Saccharomyces cerevisiae S288C: one gene and its partner. The protein of the gene in region 2 interacts with the protein of the main gene of each other region in a biochemical or structural test. Each region holds a gene or a part of one and is shown on either strand. Other genes may lie near its edges.

Region 1 (7,547 bases), on a different chromosome or scaffold from region 2:
TCATTTGTGGTCTGCACTATGCCACACAGCATACAGGCTCTTTCACTAGACATCTCTTACACTGTACCTCGTTCGCTTTTGCCAAACTGAATGTGGCCAGGTGTAATTATTACACAGTACATCCTTCGAGCCCTTTCTTAAATTTCACTTTTTCACTCGATTTCACTCATAGAACGTATAAGGTGACCTTTATCAACATCGAGATTAATTATAGATAGAAGATGATTAAATTATATACATGAATATATTTATTTGAGGTATGGTGTCTAAAGCGTAATATACCTATCTACTTCACGTAAATTGGACTACGAGGACCGCTTTAAATAGTAGTAACCATCTCTTTCCTCCATATTTTTCTTTACAAATTCTGGAAGCTCTTCACCCTTATTACTATCATACAAGATGATACCATTACCTAGAGCATGTTTCTTTTCGTTTCTCTTGTAAAAAAAAAGTACAACAAACGTCCATAAACCGTAAATAGCACCAAAAATTAAGCTCACGGTGTAACCAGTCTTAAAACGTGGTGACTCCACGGTAGGCCACGCCAAGGTAGGAATCCAGGCGTAAGTGGATTGAGAGAAGGAATAAATGGCGATCCATGTAATAGCCTTCACCTGAGGATCAAACCTTAAGAAGTCATTAATAAACGACCATAGACAAGGCGATGCGGCCACACTGAAATACGTGGTGAAGAAAGCGTACCATTTAGCTTTCGAAGGAATATCCCACTTGATAAGTAAGGCACAAGAAACGGTATTCATTATAGCAGCAAAAACCATGAATATCCACTTACATCTAAATAAATCGGCACCAAAGGCACAAAAAATCACATACGCAAATCCTAAACATGCGGGTATAACACTCAGGTTGTTCACTTGGGCAATGGAGTACTTTGTATTAGACTTTAACCACAAAGTATATGAACCACTATACGCAGTCATGTTATTCCACGAACATGTATCAAAAACAACAAGTACCCAGAATGCTGGAGTACAAAATACTTTCTTCCAAAGTTTTCTGCTCCATAATGGGGCTAGCTTACTTTTATCAACACCATCTTTGATTTGGTTCCTCTTATTTCTGGCCCTTGCAATTCGTATTTCTTCGTCAGTCAGAAATAAAGAGTAACACTTAGATGGTACACCGGGAATAACAAAAAAACCAATAATAGCCGTGGGAAGAGAAATTGCAATGGCATCGATCAGAAACATCCATCTCCAGCCTGCTAGACCATGGACGCCGTTCAAACTTTTGAATATGCGACTTTGCAGAAGTCCTGAAGTCACGGAACCCAATTGTTGCCCACAAAAGAATAAACAGACTCTTGAATTAATTTCATCTGGGGCATACCAACAACCTAGTATATATTGGGACACTGGGTAGTAAGCAGCGCCAAAGGCACTTAAAATAAATCTGTAAGCCCTTAGTTCGGCTAGTGAGTTTGCCCTATAACATGCAAATGTGAACCAAGTCCAGCCCAAGTCCATTACAGGCAAAATAATATGAGAGGGAAATCTTGGTAACAAATACATAAATGGTAATTGGAAGACAATGGCACCAACATTAGCAATAGTAGAAGTGTAAACGTAATCATTACCTTTCATGTTTAAATCTTCCTTCATATTGGAAACATATGCGTTAGTGTAGTTATTCAAATCCACTGACTTGGACCAACATAACATAAAAAAGTATAAAGCAATAATAATGTCTAGCTTGTAAAGAAGCCGTCTTTCAGCCTTGGTTTGAGTAGTATGATTAGGATACAAAAACTCGTACCACTTACGTGATTTCTTGTATTCCTTATTAACACGATACTCGAATTCATCAAAATATTTCCACCATTTACGCCCAGCTTCATCTCTCACTTCATATGGCAAGTCATGCCTTAAATTGTGAGGATGAGGTTCTACAGCTGTAGTTTCTGCCGTAACGTCTGTCTTCGAGGACTTATCTACGCTATGATGTAGCTCCTCTTCAGCTATGATACTGGAGTTAGTATCGTCTGAGTATAAGTACTGATCATCTTCGGGTAGTTTTCTCAAATGTGGGAAGTAGCTCCTCCACGATTTATTCGAAATTGTCATTATCTATTGATTTGTGTCGGTCCTTTTTTGAAAATTGAAACAAATGAAAAGGCGATTGCTCGTGGGTGTAGAGCCTTTATATATAGTTATGTTATAGCCGTAAGAGTCATGCAGATTTTTGGGAATGGCTATCATCAAACTTAGCCTTGCATCTCATATTTCGACTTTTTTTTTCATTTCACACATTTTTTTTTCCTTTCACAGTTGGGTGAAAGAGTCTCGGAGGCGGTACGGCGCTTTCTGTGTAAATCATCCTAAAGTGATTCATAATCTCAGAGCCATTTCGGGTGAACTAATGATGATTTTCTAGTAGACTACGGCAGTATCTTAGCTGACGCAATTGTAGCAATGGAGGCAATCATGTTAGTAAAGGACATTTTAGTTGTAGGAGCATAGGATCGACAGGCCATGTGAAAGGCGTACTAGCAAAGATTGAAGTAATGAGAATAATTGACGATGATTTTAATTTGAGCTTTTCAATGCAGCCGAATTCAGCAGTAGTTGCAGAACCGGACTAACACTTGAAAAAATCCCACGAGCCAGCTGCCGTCTAAGGATATTGTAATAAAGTTGGGCTTAAACTAAAGTTTTTATATCTTGGTTGTAAGGTTGTAATCATTCGTCTCAAGAAGAACGTTGAGTAATCATTAGTCCTCCGCATAAGTAGGTTGCCAATAACTTGTTCAGCAATGATGGTTGCAGCATATCCTCGCTAACGTTTTACTTACCAAATATTTTTTGCTGGTGATTAAGAAAGCTTCTACCATAAGAACACTATGTCAATTTAAAGCAATAATGTTTTCCTGAGTGTTCTTGAGCCTCTGTAAACGAATCATCAATTCAAGTATTTTTATTTTATTGCAAGGATATCGCCAACTAATTATTAACCGGCACTAATGATAGAAATGTTTTTATTTCGAACTACAAAAAGGGCATACATGACGTGGATATATGTAAAGGGTTACTAGTTTACTTATTGATGTAATATCAAGAACAATGTGCTTTTAAAAGAGACATGGTTGACGAGTAAACAAACATACATTGGTAATTCTATAAGGGTCTTTAGGCAATTTCAAATCCACTTGAGTAGGTGTTCAATGCGTCGCAGTTGGTTGGAACGAGTTCGAGTTTTTGAAACAATTCACAAGCGGGATGATAGTAGTAGCCTTCCACTGAACCTGTTAGCTGGTCTAAACACACATAGTAAAATCCCTCAAATGACGCGCCTTCCAGATGATGATTATCGTCCAACATCAGATTTTCTTGTTCCTCATCATCAAGTAGGAACCTTTCCTTCCATTTAAGATAAATATATCGTTGATTCATAAATTCTGCACTTTCATGATTATACTGACCAAAATTTCTTTCCGTTAACGACCAGTTATCAGAACCAAAATGACCAAACCTCTTCCAATGAGAGCAATCACTTTCTCTCTGAGCCATATAAGGGTCGAGCGTCTCCTCAGCGGGCCAATGCAGTGAACATAACGGGAATTGGTTATAATTGATGACATACCCTTCAAAAAGGGTAACAACTTTATCTAGGACTGGTGTTAAATTTTTAATAGTGAAAGTACCTGTGACATGCGGGTCCAAAGAACGCGAATCCTTGTAAAGTGGCAAGTTTACGGTATCAATCTTCACTTCCACCGTATAATACGTGTACTTTGACGATTGCGAACCGCCAAATCTCAATCCTGGCCTCAAAAAATCTAAATGTCTACCAAGGGATCTGTAGGTATATTTAGCATTCTTACCCACTAAATTGGTCCCTTCCTCGTAAACATCACAGTCCTCTTCTTTTGCTTTGAAGTGAGGCAAACGTGTATCAGTTGAGGAGGGTAGAGAGACATAGGCCGAAGTATATATTTCTTCAATGTTGTCATTTCTTTTGGCCCTTTCTAGAATAAACTTTCTTCCCATGATATTCAGTGATGTCATACCTACAGTATATTTTAAATGAAAAGTCTCATAACACAATACGAAAGGATAAAGATAACTCGTCGATGGCCATCATGATTGCCCTTTTTATATGTTTTTATCAAATATTAAACTAAACAACATATACAATTACATCATTTTTCCCTACTTTCTTTTTCTGTAATGGTTCATCGAAGCATTTTTAAGGGTGCCCTGAAGACTATTGTTAAAAAAAGGTACCGCATACATTCGAACCATTACCAGAAAAAAGAGGGGTGAAAAGACATTCTAAATTTTGTTATCGAATGTGAACAGAACACTTAAGAAAACGCCAAGGTTAAGAAGGCCTTGAGAGTATTGATTAAGGCGCATGGAGCACAGGTAAACGCGAAAGACGTTTTGTACTTCCTTTTACTGAGCACCTCTTACATGTAGTAGTAACCATCGCAGCGGAATAAGCACACAAAAAATGGTATTTACTTTTAGGCAAACTTGTGGGAAGTATTAAAATTATTATGTAGATTTATGTATATCGTTTGTGGTTGTATTAAACTTTAATGTTATTAGTGTTGTTAACAACATTTCTTTGGCCATTATTTTATTTGGCTAAAAATTTCAATGTTTTTACTTTGTTTATTGTCAGTTGAAGAAGCTGAGAATTCTTGTGATTCCATGTTTACCTGGGGTGGGACCACTATTGTTTGGACTAAATTGATATTGTTTCCTGTTGCCCTTAACAATGGTTGTTCCTTCTCTTGTTGCTTAGGGGCCGAGTTCACGTAGGTGTAATTACTCGTTGAGATAGGTTCAATGGCTTTTATATCTAATGGGGGCAGGAGAATCTTATTACAGTTTGAATCTCTCTTTAGGAAATTAGGAGAGAGTGGCAAACATGATGCTACTGAAAACGATTTCATATCAGAAGCACCAGATAAAGAACCTCTTGAAGTCTTGCGAAACGGCTGTTGAAGAGCAAAACAAGACCAATTAGAGATATCAGTCAACAATGCTTTCGTCTGGTCATTCAGGTGAGGGGAGTAGATTAAGTATGGGTAAAGAATATTATCTCTTAATGAAGATACAATAGCATGCAGTAGTATATGGTAAGCAATGAAGGAATCTGACCAAAAATCGAACAAAATGGAGTGTAAGTCTGTCACCAAGTTCTTTTGGTGTGTTATAATGTAGTCATTCACAAACACTTCAACCTTCTCAAATTCCTCTTTCTCTGTTGATGAAAGGTAGCTCTGACGTTGTACATAAATGGTATCGAACCAGAAATATAACATTAGGTGAACATTGGGGTTTACTAGTAATTGAGATACTTGTGATGGTGAAACATCCGAGCTTGCAATTAACTCCGATGAAAACAATTTTAGTTGGAAGCTGACAATGTCGGTAATTAACTGAATATTCCTTGGGTTTAAAGATGCCAGCGTGAAAGACTTCAAATTAAGAAGCATTGATATGATTGATAAGTTCGTGGTGATCAAGGTTTCATCAACAAATGAGGAAGAATGATGAAGTAAGCACGAGGTCGATACCTGTGGAAAGTTATCAATGAACCATATGTTCCTTGTGGTCCCATTTCTCAAAGTCAAGTTGTTGATGAATTCGAACCAAATCGTTTCCCACAATAACCAGTTACTTTTCGATTTGCAGTCCGTAATCCTGGCGTTCATAACGTTCGCAAATAAAGAGGGGTTTGCACTAGTTTCAGGTTTGATCGGCTGCTGCATTACGAAACATTCATTCAAGTAAACCAGCAAATCATGCACTCTAAAATCAGATGGCAGCTCTTGCGGATAAGTCTTCTTTATTATAAAATACACGTACGCGGAATCTGCCAAAATATTGATATGCTTTAAAGTTAAGTCAGTAGTGGACATTGACGGTCCCTTGTATATGAAGTCCTTAAGTGGATTAGACGAAATAAACTCTTGATTGACGAACCAACCAAATATTAGTAAAGAATCGTTGTTGAAGTTGTTTGAATCGCGCAAGATATTGACCCATAGATCGAATATGAACCATGCATTTTCCTTACTATTCAAATAATGGTAACTGGAGGATGCCACGGTGAATGGCTTCAGAATATCTTGAAGCATTGAAAACACATCGAACTTTTTAATGGAATTAGAAACAGGAATGTTATTCTCCAACATTACTAGAAGAGAATAAAATAGAATCAAGGCAAAAACATCATGTTGCTCTGTCTGTGACAAAATGTCCTCAGTGTCAAAGTCATTGTCATGTTTAGATGAGCTAGCATACAAATTCGTACAACAGATAAACCATAGTTTTTGAGAATCTTGATTTAACGAAATGGACATACCCAGACAAGCTATTATGAGACCAAAAGGCTTGTTAATCCAAAAACTTTCCACCAGCTCGTCATTTTGTAGTGATGAGAACAGGTCTGGAAAGAAATTTTGGAAGATCTTATTTTCTACCAAGTGGCTTACACCCATTCTGAAGAAAGTTAGAATATCTCTTGAGCTAATAAAATCTAATGAATATTCTTGCAAAATTTTTACACTGATGGAGGACTCCAACCGGCTTTTAACCTGCTTAAAGCGGCTTTTCCCTTTCTTTAAACTAGAGGACTCCTTCCCAATCACACAACGTTGCTGCTTATCCATTTTTTCAACATTACTACTATGATAGTGAATATTGATAAGGCCGCTGTTGACCTTAATCATCGAATTAACGAGTGTTTCCATTTTGATATCTCTGGGTGAAGTCGAATCAACGTCACCAACGCCAAGTGATACAGGGATATCAGCCTTATCGCCTGTCATTGACGCGTAACTGGATAAGAGGAAGGTTCTGTGGACAGTCCTGATGTGTCGCTGTAAGAGATCGCGTCTAACAAAAGAGTGTTTACAGACTTGGCACTGGAAAGGCTTCACGCCCGCATGAGACCTTTCATGCCTTATCTTGTGCTCGGATCTCGAGAAAGGCTTCAAACAAAAGGAACATATATATTTTTTTTGACCCGCAGCCATAGCAGTGATAATGCAAATACAATTACTGTATATCAACAATTGTCTTCTCCCGAGAGAAGGTTTTAAATAAAAGCGACAAGTAAAGCTCTTAAGCCATGCCAACTGGCATGAAGAAGAACCGAAAAAGAAGAAATAGAAAGCAGAAAAATGTAAAACTAAACTTTATAAGTACTTTGAAGATGCGTTCTATATAAATATGTGGGGTTAAGTGAACATGACTCGAAATCTATAATGCAGCGATTACGATAAGTATCCACATTAAACGTCAATTATTTTGCGTTGTAAGCATATGCGCGGGGGAGGGGGCGCACCCTTGAAGTGCAGTCTGTCTATCATATTACTGAACCATTTCCTTCGCTTGACTTACATCATTGGCAACACATGCCTGGATCGCTTTAGCGGCTACCTTTAGTCCATATTTTCTTCTATTACCAGATCCCATCATCCCCCTTTGTCCGATTGACGACCATTTTGCCGCGGACGATCGGAGGGGATTGCCAACGCGGGGTAGCCGACTCGGGGCGCCGAGAGC
Region 2 (9,952 bases):
GTGGCTCCCAATTGTGCAATTCAGCCTTACTATTTTGTTCATTCATCAAAGCATTTGGGACAGATCTAATATCTATAATTCTTTCCTCACTATTCTCGCTATTATTTTGCCCCGAACTGGCATGGTGGTTATTGGTAAAAGGAGATAATGCTGCGACAGAACTTTTCTTCTCTTCCAATTCTTTTATCTTCGCCAATAACGCCTTCTTTTTTCGTGCTTGTATTTCTAAAATTTCGGCCAGGTATTGTAAATATTCGACCGTTCTATCCAAAATGATACCCTTATTTGGTTTGATTTGTTTACCTAGGTCATCGTAATTCAATAAAGATGGTGGAACCAACTGGCCGAGTTCTTTTATCTTTTGCTTTATTAATTCTCTTCTTCTCCTTTCGACGGCATTATGAAACTCTCTTTTGCGCCTCAGTTTCTCATCAGAAGTTAACCCGCCTAAAATCTTTGGAACACTTCCAGGTCCTATATTTTCAGTCATATTGCTACTTATTGAAGTGTGTCTTGTTCTGGGTGTGTTTATGCTACCATGCCTAAAAGAAGATGAAAGGAAACTTCCTGCACGAAATGACGATGATGGTGATCTTACCTTTGGGGAATATGTGGAAGATACGGATGCTGGGCCCAAGCTTTGTGGATTATAAGAAAATGATGATGAATATGTGTTTGGTGTCATCATATCAGAATTGATGCTAGAAGATAAAGAGGAGCTCAAATCATCAGTTAAGTTATACATTGTGTCATCGGTGCCATGCTGAAATAAAAAGTCATGTGGTAACTCAGCTTTTAAGCCTTCTTGTTGCTGTAATGGAGTATTCATTGCTCTATCCACAGGTGAGTCGTAAGCCATAGAATAAGATGATCTCAAGGGACCCTGCCCTATGGAAGATATGGAATTTTGAGTGACAGGTCTACCGCCTTGGCTTGTTCTAAACATATCATCCAGGTAAGACGATTGCGATTCTGCTTCCTCATATATGGTCGAAGCTGTAGGAGTTTGTGAATTGGACCTCGCTTGACTGCCCATTAAGTTATTATTATCGTTAGAGTTGTGCGTATTGATGTATGAGAGTTTTTCATGCTGTTGGGCAGGAGTCTCACCACCTGGGTAGGCACTTCCGTGTATCTTGTAATCATCATTGTGGTGTGGAGTGGGTGTCACTAACGAAAAATCTAAAGTTTCCTGGAGGACTTTTGTCTGGTTCATTAATTCGTCCAGTAGACGTTGGTTCTCAGCCTCACTTTCGTTATTGTTCATCATTCTTCACTTATTTAAGAAGTAGGTTCGCCTGACAAAAAATAAGAGTATTCTATTAAAGGATACTTGTCAACTAAGTAATGTGAATGCAGTAATGTCGTTTTTGTTATCTTATATATGCTCACGTAAGACAGAAATTCGGATTGTGAAAAATTCCTTGATGATTCCGTGCAGCCTCTAGCCAAAATAGCAACTGCGAGTAAAAAATAATGTACTAACCTGCAGTAATATTGGAGATCCTACTGTCCGGACCGAGTAGTACAATTGTTAGTTTCTGTTGCTCATAAGAAGGCTTTTCTAATCACCATGGCTTTATTATTTCAAAAGTAACTTGCGAAGAGTCACATCCCGCGGAACGGCCCGCAATCGTGACCCGGCAAAAGGCGATTGTAATGAAGAGGGAGTATTGGTCAAGACTTGTACTATACTGAAATAGGAAGAAGATTGAATAAATTTGCATTCTAATTGCGTTCGGTAGTTTAGAGTAGGACTTAGATTACCTGTATTGTCTGCAGTTGCGTTTTTTTTTTTTGCTGGTAAAAAAAAAGAACAAGTGTGGAGAATATGAGCGAGGAACCACCTTCTGACCAGGTCAATAGTCTCCGTGACTCATTGAATCGATGGAATCAAACAAGACAGCAGAACTCGCAGGGTTTTAATGAATCTGCGAAGACATTGTTCTCAAGCTGGGCGGATTCTCTCAATACCAGGGCCCAGGATATATATCAGACGTTGCCTGTATCTAGACAGGACTTGGTGCAAGACCAGGAGCCGTCGTGGTTCCAATTGTCAAGAACGGAAAGAATGGTACTTTTTGTCTGTTTTCTTTTGGGTGCAACAGCCTGTTTCACTCTTTGTACTTTCCTTTTCCCCGTTCTAGCCGCTAAACCAAGAAAGTTTGGTTTACTATGGACAATGGGGTCCCTACTATTTGTTCTTGCGTTTGGGGTACTTATGGGACCACTCGCGTACTTAAAACATTTGACTGCAAGGGAAAGGCTGCCTTTTTCGATGTTCTTTTTCGCCACATGCTTCATGACGATTTATTTCGCAGCCTTTTCCAAGAACACGGTGCTGACTATTACATGTGCTCTTCTTGAATTAGTTGCCGTCATTTATTATGCTATTTCATATTTCCCATTCGGTGCAACAGGTTTGAGGATGTTAAGCTCTGCTGGTGTCAATTCGGCAAGAGGTGTTCTGCGCATCTGAATTATCATTCATAGTGCATATTGAATTGATTAGTTGAAGAAGAAAAATAATGTTTATGTTATAAGAAACAATAATAAAGAGATTTATAACCTAACCTAATTAAATAGCATGTAGTCAACAAAAAGGGAGTAAAACATGCAGTGGCTCTATATATATAATTATCGTAGAATAATTCAAAAAAAAATAAAAAACGAAAAAATTCATTCTTCATCACTCATCAAAGGCACTATTTCGTCATAACGCGGAGGCTCGTTACCATGAGAGAGTAGCGAATCTGCGGAGCTCGAACTTACTATTCCTTCTTGTTCTTCATCATCTTTTACATTCGCTAAAGTGTAACCCTTTTTGAAAAATTCGTTCTGTTTGTCCTTAGAGTTTTCAGTGGTAGCGTTTGGAATCCTCACAGTACCATTTGCTTGTGATAAGCCATTTGTTGGTGATGAATTGTGAGATCTATTGACGGGCGATGGAGTGCTCAATAATTTATCGAGATTATTGAATCTTGACCTGTCATTCACTGACGTTGCTCTTGCTCTAGCAACACCTTGGCCACTATTGCCCGAAACAAATGCGGAATTCGAAATACTGCCGTTCATGGCATTGGCATTTGAAATACTGTTCCGATTAACATTTGGCACACCGGCATCATCGCTGTATCCGGATGGCCCACTAACTGACGTAGTTCTTGATAAGTTCAATTGTTGAATAGATAGTAAATCAGGGTCATACGAGGCCATGATATTAGGTGATCCCATCGGTGAGACAATGGGAGAAGCTGGAACGGATATGGCTTCTTCAAAAGTTGGCGGAGGTGGACATGTGTTACCAAAAAAGTCGCTGTTCATACTTAGAGGAACCTGGTTGCCTTTGCCTTCCATTGTGGCCATATCATAAGTGGGTAACTCCATATTACCACTGTTGCACTGTTCAGACACCAGGAATATGGGCGTATCGATTAGAACCTCATAATGTCTTAATTTGGACGGACACTCAGGATCAGGTTTACTGATTCGTAGCATAATTTCCAGCTTATGTCTACAGTAAACATTACTGAAGTGTAAACTATCCAAGTACAAGCCTCTTTTCGGTGTGTTTAATCTGGTATGTGTTTTCACGGGCAAACCAGAATTGGATTTGATTATTGTTTGATGGAATTTTGGATCATAAACAGGTTTTTCATTTTCTTCATGACTTTTCGAGCCTTTATGACCGGATAAAAAGCCTATTACACTGGGACGACGGTGTGAGGGTCCATTGGCTACGGCATGTTCGGGATTGGGGATGCTCGTGTATGCATCGATACCATAAGGTGGTATTATCTTTGCGGTTCTTTTATCCAAATCTTCGTATTTGGGGAACTTCAATTTTGTTTCAATAATTATTGGTTCCGTTATACCGAGCCTTTCTTTCGGATTGCCTTTTGAATCGCTGTCGTCATCAAAAGGACTATAAGATAAGAGATTGTCATTGAATGAATTTTCAACAATTTCCTCCCTTAGAGCTCTCGTGCCCTTCTCCTTAGTTCTGATTTCAAATAATGATACACTTCTTTCCTTTCTTCTCTTGGAGGCGAAATCTAAATAATACGGATTATAAGGGTCTTTAGCAACGGGATCTGTTTGATCATACTCATATTCATAACCTTTACTAACAAATGTGACTCTTTCAGTAATACTGACATGAATACGTTTAACACAAACGTTTTTGCATATCGGTGCCAATTTTATCTTGATTGGGACTTCACTGTTTAGTGAAACGTATTTCTGAGCAAAGGAAATCTCGTATGACAAAGAATCTGTCCAAACCCTATTAATATAGATTGGTTTATTCGCAGTGGATACGGCAACGGGCGGTGGAGTTCTAATAACTTTTATTGGATACTCTGCGAAAATGTCCTCTTCTCCTGATTCTTCATTTTTCAGTTGATGTGAGCTCATGTGTAGATGATTTTTAACTTTACTAAACAAAGTGTTGCTTATCCTCCTATGGGCCTGAGCGGATTCTGTTTCGGTAAGTTTTAATGAAGATGTAGTGGAGCTTAGTGATGAAGAAGAGTCTGGCGACACAATAGGTTGCGGAGAGTTTGAATCTTGACGATAGAAACCCTTTCTATTGATTGCCTTTGTTGCAAGCCTTAGTCTGTAACTAACACGTGCAGAGGGTAAATAGATAGTCTCCGGAATATGATTAGAGAAAACCACTGGTACTAAGAATACATAGTCTCCAGGTTGGTAAAGATGAGTCTTATTTACGTCTATGGCGTTTAAAAGGCTGGCTTTTGTTTTAGTCTTGTCCAAATACAGTCTCTCCTCTGTAGGAATATTCTTGAACAACCTCATTTGACGATCGTTGGAGTTGTTTTCAATCATTTGATCATCTGGGGATATGCTTAATGGTACAAACAAATCGAAGTTTTCATCATTCAAATTCCATTTCATTGATGCAGCATTATAAAATTCTTCATTAAACGTCTTTGTAGGAGGAACACCTGTATTCCAAAACACTTTAACCCTTGAACATAATTCCAATTGCATGTCCGTAAATCGGGTTGGTTTTTTAACGGATACTATAACTGCTATGCTGTAAGAGACCATGGAACTGTCGATTTCAACAGACCTTGTATTAAGTTCCGAGCCGGAGCCTGGATGGTCTCCTGAATTATTTTCTCTCAGGAGTGTGTCTCTATTTTCATTTATGCTGCCACCACTTTCGGTAGCCGCTGCCGTTGTAGCGAGAGATGGAGTGTTACCTTCTTGCTGGTCTATACCATCCATAAAAAAATCCGCCTCAGCATCGTCCGTACCATCATTGAGTCCGTTTAGTCTGGACAGGTACTCATCGTCATTCGAGGATATCGTTGGTAAGAAAACGCTTTCACCGCTTGTAGAAATAGAAATCTTCAAGTACTCATTGGATAGAACGGTTTTTGGGCCCAGGAGACCTCTAGCGGTTAAATATTCTATGAGAAATTGCTCGTTAAACTTTTTCGAGTTTGCCAACCTTGTTAGAGAAGTTGATGATAAATCGCTTGACACTACAGCTGATGAGTTATGGTCATCATCAAAATCTAGTACTGTGCTATCCTCCTCAATCTGTGAATAGCGTCCCCCAGAGATTCTGGGCTCTTGGTCTACCGACAATCTTCCCGAAGTGCGACGGTTGGTGTCGGAAGTCGAGGATCTCGGAGTCGTAGTAGCACTATCGCTGATAGAGCCCTGTATGGCAGTGGTACTGTGTCGCCTTGCGTTTGGCGGCGGCTGTTTGTTCTGTTTTTTGCCAAGGAGTTGGGCGTCTGTATTGCTGCTTCTGATGTTGCCGTTATTATTGCCGCCTTTCGTTGTGTTGTTCAAGACGGCAGGTGAGTGAACATTAGCGCCACCAAGTAAAGATGATAGCGCGTGCCTAATGGTGGAGGATCTTCTTCGTTGTTGCATGGACCCTAATTTCTTGGTGGGAGAGGGTTGAAACGGCTGTCCTTTAGACTGGTTTAAATCTGTTTCTGATAAAGAGTGGGATGAATTTTTCGCCACCGGTCTTGATGTTATAAACGGCATGCCCAATAGGGGTAGGGAAAAATCTTGCTTGTTCTTCTCTATTTAAAAGAGTCACCTTTCCGATGGACCTTCAAAAATATAAACGTGGCTTATCTCAGAGCTAAGACAGACCTTCCGAGCAATAATAATGAGTCGTTCTATTTTTTTTTTCTCGTCCCTTTTTTTGTCCCCTCTTAACAAAATTAGAAATATAGGCGGGAAAGTGGAGAACCCTTGGAAGAGTCAGATCAGAGATTGGAAAAATTAAGACCAATGGATATCTACAGATCCTGTGAATCGAGTGTGAGTGATATACCGCAAGATCGGTAGAAAACTGTATATAAAGCAAAGAACTGATGTGGTGTAAACGATGTAGCGATGTAACAAGAGATACTCGGTAATGTAATCAAGATGCTCTTTTTTTTTTTTTGCGGCAATATGGTGTACGTAAAATTAAGGTTCCGTGGAGTCTGTGCTTGCGAAAATGATATTGACGCATGGACTGTCGAAATAATAAATTTACAATTAAACACTTGGTGATTTGAATGTAATTTGAACGTTTAAAAAATTCCAAGGGAATATTACTGTTTCGGGAATATAACGTTTGATATCGCTAGCGCACCCAGATGAGAAATCCGCATGGATGGGTTGTTAGTATTTCTATTGTGAAACCGCTTTGTTCTGGAGGGCGAGAAAAAGTTACGGTCACTCTATCTTTTTTATAATTTGGTCTAACAAACTTGATATCAGAACCACGTAGAAGAAAAAGAGACTAATAGTAAAAATATCAAGAAAGTTGACCAATTTTTGTTATATATGTCCGTAAAAGTTATGACTTGGCACTGGTCTTGGTTTACTCATCAATCAGCTAGGATCAGCGCTGAGTGACTGCTTGCGGCTGGGCGGCTAAGAAATGGGAATATGTACAGTACAAATTCCGAACTTTGCGAGCCTGCCTCGATGGTTTTTTAAGGTGTTCTTTTCTTGCATACCAAAGCGTACACTTGATGCGCCGCTTGACGTTATCTTGTTCTGGATGAGGCCTTATTTTTGGTCTTCATTGTTAAAACACCCTATTGTCATTTAGCAGCCGATGCGATGAACGAAACTGCGAGGTAAAAGCGCTCAAATCAAAAGTGTAGTATGAATGATATATAAACAACTTCAATAAAGTCACGCGTAGTTAAAATATTGTTAGGGTAATATCCTGTGTCCTTCGAATATCTGTTGGAATAAGAAGCAACATCATCTACTGACTAGTATTCGTGATACTAGTATTCAATCACGTAAGGTGGAAGAGAATGACATGAAGATTGAGAAACAGTGATCAAACTCAATAAAGAGCTGAATACAAGCACATATAATTGTTGGAATAAAAATCAACTATCATCTACTAACTAGTATTTACGTTACTAGTATATTATCATATACGGTGTTAGAAGATGACACAAATGATGAGAAATAGTCATCTAAATTAGTGGAAGCTGAAACGCAAGGATTGATAATGTAATAGGATCAATGAATATTAACATATAAAATGATGATAATAATATTTATAGAATTGTGTAGAATTGCAGATTCCCTTTCATGGATTCCTAAATCCTTGAGGAGAACTTCTAGTATATCTACATACCTAATATTATAGCCTTAATCACAATGGAATCCCAACAATTACATCAAAATCCACATTCTCTACATGGTAGCGCCTATGCTTCGGTTACTTCTAAGGAAGTCTCATCAAATCAAGATCCGTTAGCCGTTTCAGCTTCCAATTTACCGGAATTTGATAGAGATTCCACTAAGGTTAATTCTCAACAAGAGACAACACCTGGGACATCAGCTGTTCCAGAGAACCATCATCATGTCTCTCCTCAACCTGCTTCAGTACCACCTCCACAGAATGGACAGTACCAACAGCACGGCATGATGACTCCAAACAAAGCTATGGCTTCTAACTGGGCACATTACCAACAACCATCTATGATGACGTGTTCACATTATCAAACGTCACCTGCGTATTATCAACCGGACCCACACTATCCGCTGCCACAGTATATCCCACCGCTGAGTACTTCCTCACCTGATCCAATCGATTCACAGGATCAACACTCTGAAGTACCTCAAGCTAAGACAAAGGTGAGAAATAATGTCTTACCACCACACACTTTAACATCAGAAGAAAACTTTTATACATGGGTTAAATTTTACATCAGATTTTTGAAGAACTCTAATCTCGGTGACATCATTCCAAATGATCAGGGTGAAATCAAAAGACAAATGACTTATGAAGAACATGCGTATATATACAATACCTTCCAAGCATTTGCCCCATTTCATTTATTGCCAACATGGGTAAAACAAATTTTAGAAATTAATTATGCTGACATCCTTACAGTCCTTTGTAAAAGTGTGTCCAAAATGCAAACTAACAATCAAGAATTAAAGGATTGGATAGCTCTTGCCAACCTTGAGTACGACGGAAGTACATCTGCTGATACATTTGAAATTACGGTCAGCACGATCATTCAAAGGCTAAAAGAAAACAATATCAATGTTAGCGACAGATTGGCCTGTCAACTAATACTTAAAGGTCTATCCGGTGACTTCAAATACCTACGTAATCAATATCGTACCAAAACGAACATGAAACTTTCCCAATTATTCGCTGAAATTCAATTAATATATGACGAAAATAAAATCATGAATCTAAATAAACCGTCCCAATACAAACAACACAGCGAATACAAAAATGTTTCTCGCACATCTCCAAACACGACTAACACAAAGGTTACAACTCGTAATTATCATAGAACAAATAGTTCAAAACCAAGAGCAGCAAAAGCTCACAATATTGCTACATCTAGTAAATTCTCAAGGGTGAACAATGATCACATTAATGAATCAACCGTTTCATCACAATACTTAAGCGATGACAACGAACTTAGTCTTAGGCCAGCAACAGAAAGAATCTAAGCCAACACACACAATAGACTCGAATGACGAACTACCTGATCACCTTCTTATTGATTCAGGAGCTTCGCAAACGCTTGTCAGATCAGCCCATTATTTACACCATGCAACACCCAATTCTGAAATAAACATAGTCGATGCTCAAAAACAAGACATTCCTATAAATGCCATTGGTAATCTTCACTTCAACTTTCAGAACGGCACCAAAACATCAATAAAAGCACTGCACACACCAAACATAGCCTATGATCTATTAAGTTTGAGTGAGCTGGCTAATCAAAATATTACTGCCTGCTTTACCAGAAACACTTTAGAAAGATCGGATGGTACAGTACTAGCTCCCATAGTCAAACATGGAGACTTTTACTGGTTATCTAAAAAATACCTAATTCCTTCGCACATTTCAAAGCTAACAATAAACAACGTCAACAAAAGCAAAAGCGTAAATAAATATCCATATCCGTTAATACATCGAATGCTTGGACATGCTAACTTCCGAAGTATTCAGAAGTCTCTTAAGAAGAATGCAGTTACATATTTGAAAGAATCGGATATTGAATGGTCTAACGCTAGCACATATCAATGTCCTGACTGTCTAATCGGCAAAAGCACGAAACATAGGCATGTCAAAGGATCACGACTAAAGTACCAAGAATCATATGAGCCTTTTCAGTACTTGCATACCGATATATTTGGTCCTGTACATCACTTACCGAAAAGTGCACCTTCTTACTTTATATCGTTTACAGATGAGAAAACCAGATTCCAATGGGTCTACCCATTACACGACCGTCGTGAAGAATCTATACTCAATGTTTTTACATCGATATTAGCATTTATTAAGAACCAATTCAATGCTCGCGTTCTAGTTATCCAGATGGATCGTGGCTCCGAGTACACTAACAAAACTCTTCATAAGTTCTTTACGAACAGAGGTATTACTGCATGCTATACAACCACGGCAGATTCT

What was found.
Region 1: of the proteins of ECM21 (region 2) and GID10, one has a biochemical effect on the other in vitro, tested with the Saccharomyces cerevisiae proteins (one study listed by BioGRID).

The regions. Positions count from the first base shown.
Region 1 is NC_001139.9:617,772-625,318, forward strand, and holds GID10 (Gid10p), read right to left. Parts: upstream 4,029-7,547; coding exon 3,150-4,028; downstream 1-3,149. Other genes in the region: transcription elongation factor SPT4, read right to left, coding at 1-53; VHT1 (Vht1p), read right to left, coding at 306-2,087; YGR067C (uncharacterized protein), read right to left, coding at 4,601-7,015. UniProt on the Saccharomyces cerevisiae protein: Substrate-recognition component of the GID E3 ligase complex recruiting N termini and catalyzing ubiquitination of proteins targeted for degradation.
Region 2 is NC_001134.8:22,267-32,218, forward strand, and holds ECM21 (Ecm21p), read right to left. Parts: upstream 6,034-9,952; coding exon 2,680-6,033; downstream 1-2,679. Other genes in the region: RTG3 (Rtg3p), read right to left, coding at 1-1,270; SFT2 (Sft2p), read left to right, coding at 1,832-2,479; YBL100W-C (uncharacterized protein), read left to right, coding at 6,161-6,280; YBL100W-A (gag protein), read left to right, coding at 7,669-8,985. UniProt on the Saccharomyces cerevisiae protein: May be involved in cell wall organization and biogenesis.